Canis lupus familiaris: one gene and its partner. The protein of the gene in region 2 purifies or fractionates together with the protein of the main gene of each other region. This does not show direct contact. Links are inferred from orthologs where the notes say so. Each region holds a gene or a part of one and is shown on either strand. Other genes may lie near its edges.

Evidence for each region. The genes of interacting proteins can lie anywhere in the genome.
Region 1: the proteins of AGO2 (region 2) and TARBP2 purify together in Homo sapiens (co-immunoprecipitation; 10 studies listed by BioGRID and IntAct, with this or other methods). This does not show direct contact. The link is inferred for Canis lupus familiaris from reciprocal best matches to the Homo sapiens genes AGO2 and TARBP2.

The regions. Positions count from the first base shown.
Region 1 is NC_049248.1:44,930,547-44,934,802, reverse strand, and holds the start of TARBP2 (RISC-loading complex subunit TARBP2), read right to left. Parts: upstream 2,825-4,256; 5' UTR 2,540-2,824; coding exon 2,487-2,539; intron 2,396-2,486; exon of another isoform or gene 2,238-2,395; intron 1,924-2,237; coding exon 1,754-1,923; intron 951-1,753; coding exon 848-950; intron 319-847; coding exon 223-318; intron 1-222. UniProt on the Homo sapiens protein: Required for formation of the RNA induced silencing complex (RISC). Component of the RISC loading complex (RLC), also known as the micro-RNA (miRNA) loading complex (miRLC), which is composed of DICER1, AGO2 and TARBP2.
Region 2 is NC_049234.1:35,819,396-35,822,974, forward strand, and holds part of AGO2 (protein argonaute-2), read right to left. Parts: intron 677-3,579; coding exon 495-676; intron 1-494.

The DNA.
Region 1 (4,256 bases), on a different chromosome or scaffold from region 2:
ATGGCCAAATGTCCTCTCTGTGGCTATTTAAGAATCGTGGATTACCTCCTGTCCCAAGAGCTTACCAACTGAGGCAAAGTCTTCAAATTCTGGTCCCCAACTATTCCATCCTCTGCTTACTCTCAGACTTCCTCCTGCCTGACCAGCCTGGGTCCAAAGGCTGGGGGGCCAGGAGCCGGGACCCCTACCTCCCCCCTTCAGGCAGGCAGGAACACAAGATACCTGGTTGGAACAGCAGATGGAACAGGAGTAGCAGCCGCTGCAGCAGTAAAAACTGGAATGTCCTCAGGCAGTGAAGAGTCTAGGGGAGAAAAAGAACTTCCCGAGGGGAAGGGGGCCTTTGATTCACACCCATGTGGGCAGGGGTGGGGTGGGGAGTAGAGGGTGGGGACCCAGGTCCTCCTGACCTGCCCGTCCCCTAAGAAAACCCCTTCCCACTGGAGCCAAAGACTCAGGGAAGCTTAACCACCACCTTCTGGGATCCTTTGCTGCCAAACACTGGATCAAAGCGACTGAGACAAGGGGAAAGACGGTCTCTTCCTACACAAGAGCCACGGAGGCAACAAACCCCAATGTAAGTGTGCAAGAGGGGAGGACAACCTGCTAGAGAGAGGAGGCGTGTTGGGGTGCGACCCCTCTAGCCTCAGCCTCCGCCCCTTTCCCTCCCTAGCCTGGGCCCACACCACAGCCACAGCCCCTTGACATCCCCCCACAGGATCCTTCACAACAGCGGGAGCCCTGGAAGCATCCCGCCCTGTCCGGCCAGGTCAAGGTGGGCAGAGGAGGTAGCGCAGGGGCCTGGGTTCCTGGCCGGGTCTCTACGAGGCCTCGGCTGGTCCTCCCTCACCTGCTGTCCTCCAGGGCCGGCTCCAGCATGCTCCCCCCTTTGAGGTGTTTGAGGGCCACCTCAGCTGCCTTGTGCTTGGCTGCCTTCTTGCTGGGGCCCTGACCTGAGAGAGGGGCGTGGGCGATACTGGAGGTCACTAGGAGGACAGAAAAGCCGGCACCCACAGCTTCTCTCCTCAGGGCTGGAGGGAGTCAACCAAGCCCCTCTCACCACCTGCCCCTGCCCAAGACCGGAAGTGCTGCGCTAATTACTAGAAGGGAGGGCTTCTGCTCCCCAGAGCTCCCCAAATCAAGCCACGCCAGGCACGACTGCTCTGGAGCTCAGACACCCTGGGCAGAGACGCTTTCCCGGCTCTCCTTGCCTCTGGGAAGTGCTTTCTTTTCTCTCAATACATAGAGATGTCTGGGAAAGTAGAAAGAGGGCAGGCTCCGGAGTCAAGGCCCCGCTCCGCCACTTCTCAGGCCCGGGACCTTGCACCACTCACATCCACCCCGAGCCTTGGCTCCCTCATATTCAGCTCGGAGGTGCTATCCCCCACATCCCTGGATTAGACTGCGATTTAAGACGAACTAGGAATTTGGTCAAGCACCTGGAACAGAGCCCAGTGCAGCAGGCACTCACTCCTTCGAAACTTCGCTGAGAGTTTGGTTCATCCCGTCTTTCTCCTCTAGGATGACGACAATGTGCCAGACCCCTCTGGCGGTCCTGCTTGCTCCTCTAACTCTCCGGAGTCCTACCCGCCTCCTCAAAGACCCGTTCCCCCAAACGAGTCCGTGGCTTTTCCCCCTGAAATCTCTCCTTCCCTCACTGGCCTTGGAGCAAAGGACTGGGGAGAGACTCCAGGACACAAAGCCACCAGGGCCCTGCGGATGCACACCCCAGCCAGGCTGCCCAAGCCTTCCTCACCAGTGCAGCTGGTGTCGCCAACGGTGACCCGGAAGGTGAAATTAGGCTGGTGGGCTTGGCCCTCGGCTTTGAGAAGGTCGTACACGGGCGTCTTCCCTATTCTGGTCCCATACTCCTGCAGAAGGCTGATCGGGGTCTTGCCCGGGTTGGCTGCCAGCATTTGCTCTATACTGGGGGAGGCGGGGGCAGGGGGTCACGGACCCTTATCACACCTCCAACTCTGCGCCCACCCGGCCAAGCACTGTCGTATCAGACCCAGGCACACTATGGGGGGACACGGGTCCAGGGGACCCCGGGCAGTACAGCACACATTGGCTGGGTTCAGTGTGGAGTAGAAGCGGGCTGGAAGCCGGGTCCACGGCCCCCAGAGCACGCGGGCAACGCACTGTTCCTGTCTCAGTTAAGCAGGAGGAGGATCCTGCACCCCAGTGCAGTTAGGAGGTGCATGTCCCCACACAGTGCAGCCCAGGGACCCGGTACCCACCAAACGCACTGAATGTCGGGAGCACAAAGCCCAGTGCCCCAAGTGCAGTCTGGGAACCGGGCCAACCCCAAACTATTTAGAGCAGGAGGCCGTGGCCACTGCCGGGGTGCATGCCGGGAACCACGGCCCACTACCCCGGTGCTTGCCGGGAACAACCCTCGGGCCAGGTGCATGCTGGGGCCGCGCCGCTACCACCTCCGCGCCGCGCCACGCTTCTCGCCCGGCAGGGGTCGGCTCGAAGCGGCTCACCTGGGCAGCCCGCAGCCCGTGGTGGTGCCGGAGCCCTGCTCCTCTTCACTCATTCCCACCTCCGTGCCCGCGGGCCCCACCGTGACTGCAGCCTCCGCGCGCCCCAGAACACCGCCGACGAGCTAGGGCCGGGGCCGAGCCCCGAGTCGCGGCCGGTCGGGCCCGCCGCGGGGCATGCCGGGACATGGAGTCCCCCGCCCACCCGCCTCCCCGAGTCTCCATCGGGAGGGGAGCCGCCCGCCCCACAAGCCCCCGCGGGCGTCGCCCGGGGATGCGGCACCGCCTCCTGGGAGGAGCGGAGCCTTCCACGGTGGCCTCCCGAGCGGAGGGTGGCTTTGTGTCCGTGTGTCCGTGTGTCTGTGCGTGTGAATTTTTTTTTTTTTTTAAATAGCGTCCCGCCTCTTTTCCGCGTCTCCGCTCCCCGGAGTGGGCATGCGCGGGAGCAGAGCGGAAGCGGCTGGGGGCGGGGCGCTAAGGCCTAACCGGAGCGCCGGGTCCGCAGGCTCCCGAGGAAACTACAGAGACCGGCAGCTCGCGCGCCATCTTTGTCGCCGCGCAGGGGCAGGCGCAGGCGTGCGCGGAGAGCTCCGCGATAGGATTGGTCGTGTCCGATTGCGCTGGCTCGCTCTAGGCACGTTGCGATTGGTTACTGAGCCTCGAGGGGCGGGGCCAGGAGCGAGGCAGCCCCTCGGCCCCGCCCCTTTGTTGAGGAAAGGCTGCGATTGGTCCAGGGAAGAGGGGCTGTCGCACCCTGGCTCGGCGCGGGCTGGGGGTGGCCTCACCTGGCCGCGGGAGGAGAGCGCTCGAGCCCCTCCGCGCTGGGGCCGGCCGGCCGGCGGCCCGCAGTTCCTCCTCGCTCCCGGCCCCGGGGCCTTCGTCTCACAGCCCCTGCTTCGTGTTCCCGGGTTGCCCTTCATTCCCTGCCCCTAGTTCTGGCCCGCAGCCTGTCTGGTTTCAGGTCTTCTCTAAAGCCTTGCTGGGCCGTCCCCAGGGAACCTCTCCGTAGGTGGCCCGGGACCCTCTCTGGGGCCTGAGAATCGGGCTGTAGGGGCGACAGCATTAGGACTCACGCACACCGTGGTCTCGTTCCCGCGGCTGTGGGTCTGGGGTCTCTCGGCCGAAGAGACAGCAGGAGAGGACTCCGGCCTCTGAACGCTAACCCGCTAACTGGGTGCAGAGCTGCAGCCCCTCCTCCCTAGGGTGTCCCGGCCACCGGGTTCAAAGATGTAGGAGAATCTCGTGACCTTGGCGAGACACCACGAAAATGCCTGGTTCTAACGAGCGTCCCGAGGCTGGGCCAGGTAGTGGAGAGCCGGGGGAGCCCCGGAACGGCGCTGAGGAGCTCGGGCACTAGGCTCGGCGGATTCCAATTGGGTAGAGCCGGAGTGGTGACGGCGACGGGCAGGGCGGCTGGCTGGCTCGGCAAGGCAGGGGGAGCCGCGCCAGAGCGCTGGGCGGCCGGGGTCCCCGCGCGGAGGGGCTCCGTCTCGGGGCGTAGCAGGCAGGGTGTCCGACCGGCCACAGGGGGCTCCTCGGGGACCAGCCAAGGCTCGAGGTGCGACGGCCACCCGACCCCGCCTGCGGGGAGGCGCGGGGCCCCGGAGGGCCGGGGCCGGGCCTGGAGCGCGCCGGATGGCAGCGGCGGGCTCCTTTAAGAGGCCGGCGGCTCCAGCGCAGCATCCCCCGCTCAGGGCGTGTCCGTCCCGGGGGGCCAGGGGCGGGGGCCTCGGAAGGAGCGGGAGTTCGAGCCGAGTGGGGACGGGGCTAGGG
Region 2 (3,579 bases):
CCGCAGCCTGTGTCCTCCGGGCGGTGGGGGCTCCATCGGGGGGCACTGGGAGCATCACCCTACTGTTACGAGTCCCATGCGTGAAGGCCACAGAGACACGGAGCGGGGCTCACAGTGTTGGGCAAGTGAACACTAATCCCCAGTGTGCACGAAGACGGGCAGGCCATCTTTTTGTGCTAGTCTGAGAATTCTGGAGATGACTTTTTCTTTCCTTTTTATTTTTTTAAAGTAATGTCTGGCCAACATGGGATTCGAGCTCACAATCCTGGTATCAAGAGTCACATCCTCTACTGATTGAGCCAGGGAGGCGCCCCCGGTGACTGATTTTTATATTAAAAACGTTTCATGTTAGTAGTGCTATAATTTTCACCATAGAAATCCATGACCATCACCTCCCTGACTCCAAAAATCCACTCATCCTTGGACAGAGATTTCCTGACCTCCAGGGAACGGTCAGGGTCAGAAGCAGACGCTCCTGCTTCCTTGGTCCTTACCTCATGGATGGCAAATGCCTCATGACCACATCCAGGGCCTGGATCGTCTCAAAGGGGACGCTGGGCAGCCGCCCCGAAAGTGCATCGTGTAACGCCTGTAAGCTCACACAGGACACCCACTTGATGGACACCTTGAAGATGCGGTCCTTTCCTTCTCCAGGCAACGTGACCTCCAGCTCCACCTGCGAGGAGATCCAGAGCACACGGTTATTCACACTCGCCTCTGAGAAGCTGCTGGGAGGTTGGGGGCAGTGGGTCAGCTTCCAGAACTGGGTAGGGAAGTTCAGCCCATCCTTTGTCCAAGCACGCACAGCGGGACGTGCACATAGCCCTAGCCCATGAGTGCCGGCAATCAGCGGGACCTGGGACTTCTCCCTGGCCCTGCACAGAGGTGGCCAGGGGAGACAAGCAGCGACAGACCGTGTCGTGGAGGCCATGCCAGCGCAGGGCGGACGCTACACAGCAGGTCCAGACGGGGTAGGGGACGCGGGCAGGGGGCGGGGAGCTAGTCGGGGGCCCAGGGATTAACTCCCAGTGGAACTGGGAACACTGCAGAGGGTCTGGGAGCTCCCATGTTCTGGGTCCCTTAAGGTAGGTTTGCGGTGAATAAACCATAAACAGAAAGCCTTCTCAGAAGACACGTGGTAAAACAAACAGCCAAATGCTAACAACTGCAGACTCCAGGCGGGCGTGCGCGCCCCTACAGTGCCTCAACTTTCCTCTCTGACTAGGCAGGTCCACAACGAATAGAGAACGCAGGAGGGGGGGACCCGCCAACACTTCCAGAAGCTCTTCTACAGACTGTGTGCACCTCCGGGTACAAAACGCAGAGAAAAAAAGCTTCAACTACAAGACCTATCAGAATCTCCTGCGAAGGAATTAAAATTCTCAGCCAAACCTCAGAATATTTGCCACAATAGTGCTCAGTGGTCCCCAACAGCTCTGTCCAAGAGAACTTTTGTGATAACGGAAACAGTCTCTTCCCATGCTGCCCAGGGCGCTGGCCGCTGGCCGCCTGTGGCCACTGAGCAGTGGAAATGTGGGCAGTGTGGCCGAGGGACTGAATTTTCAGCTTTGTGCACTTTTCATGAGTCCACACTTACACGGCCACGTGCGGCCAGCGGCTGGCGTACTGGACGGTGGTCGGGAGCGGGCCCCAGGGACTCACTCCCCGAGGCAGACAGCGAGTCCCTCCCCCCTCTCCTCCTGCCCCCGAGCACCCCTTGCCTCCCCACCTTTACCCCGTCGCTTCACTCCCCCACTTGTGACCCACCCTGCAGTTCATTATTCGGTCACTGAGGGGGACGTTCTGAACACTTGGCGCACACAGACCCCCACTCAGCTGTCATTGAAACAATTTCAATATTTGCCAACAATACTTCCCAATATTGATGGAATATCTCATTTGACAGGTGACAGGGGCACCTGGGTGGCTCAGGAGGTTGAGCGTCTGCCTTGGGCCCAGGGCATGATCCTGGGGTCCCGGGATCAAGTCCTGCATCGGGCTCCCTGTGTGGGCCTGCTTCTCCCTCTCCCTGTGTCTATGCCTCTCTCTGTGTCTCTAATGAATAAACAAATAAAATCTTTAAAAAAGATAACTTGACATGTGACAGATTATATACGTTTTATCCCTGAACATCCAAAGATCCCAGGAAGGGAGACTTTATTCACTACTTTTTACATATTATAAAAACGCAGATGCTTAGACTAAAAGTGTAGCCCGTGGAACTTCCCACGTGCTCACTGGGGGGCTGTCACCCTCGGTACAGCACAACACGGATGCATGGCCACAGCCCCTGTGCCCAGCCCACCCCAGCCCTCCAAGTCTGCGAGTCCCCAAAGGAATGGGGGTCCATCCCGCTGCCTGTGCACCACCTGCCTGGAACGCCCTCCCCCAGCAGGCCAGGGGAGTCACGTCCCAGGCCAGTGTGCCAGCCGCACAGCCCCTGTGCACTCCTCACTCCCTCCTCACTTGAGAGGCCTGCAGGCCCCTCTCAACTCCTGAGGAGCTCCGTCCTCACACACACTCACTACCCCACATTCACACGTCATGAGAGCAGCAAGCAGACTGCGCGGAGTCCCCTGCACCCGTGTCCAAGAGGACACCTGCCCGGCAGCACTCAGAGCACCATCCCGCCTGACAGCCACTAAGTGGCCGTGGCCCAGGCCCAGCGAGGACACAGCAGTGAGAGCACAGACGCTTCTAGGCGCATGGACCTCGGGACTGACCAGAGAGTCACCACACCATGCCCCAGAAGGTCTCCGTGATCGGGTCCCTTTCAGAAAGAAATGACATAGGTGACGGATGCACATACAGCTGCTAGAACCAGGAAGGCCAAAACCACAAGGAGCTGCCACCTCACACCTGTCCAAATAGCTAGAATCAAAAAGATGAAAAATAAAAAGTGTTGGCAAGGATGCGGAGAAATAGGAAATGTGCATTGCTGGCAGGATTGCAGAGCAAGATAAATGCCATGTGATTTCATTTATATCTGGAATTTAAAAACAAAACTAATGAACAGAAACAGAAAAAGAGATTTGTAAATACGGAGAATAGTGGTTCCCGGGGGTGGGGGGTGGGAGGATGGGCGGAACGGGAAGGGGACGAAGAGGCACAGATCTCCAGGTATAAGGAAGGACGTCACAGGGATGGAAAGCGCAGCGTGGGGAAAGTGGCCAATGATACTGTCATGACGTCGCACGGGGACTGTGGTGACCACACTCCCCGCGGGAGCGTTTCCTCATGTACAGAACTGCCTGTCACCATGCTGCACACCTGAAACCAATGTAACACTGCATGGCCACTATCCTCCAATTAAAAATAATAGTCTGAACCTCCCCACCCACCCACCCCACGATCCTGCAGGACTGTGAGCAAGCAGCCACGGGGGGACTGTCCTTAAGGAGATTAGAGTCCGGCCTCAAAGATGTTTCTATGAAGTAATGAGGCGTTCAGAGAAACACACCAAACTTTTCTTTGCAAGAAAAGCCCTGCCATGCCATTTTGCCACATCAATTAAGAAAATGTGAAAAAAAAAAAAAGTGAAAAAGTGGCAATTATGTGAGGTGATGGATGTGCTGATTA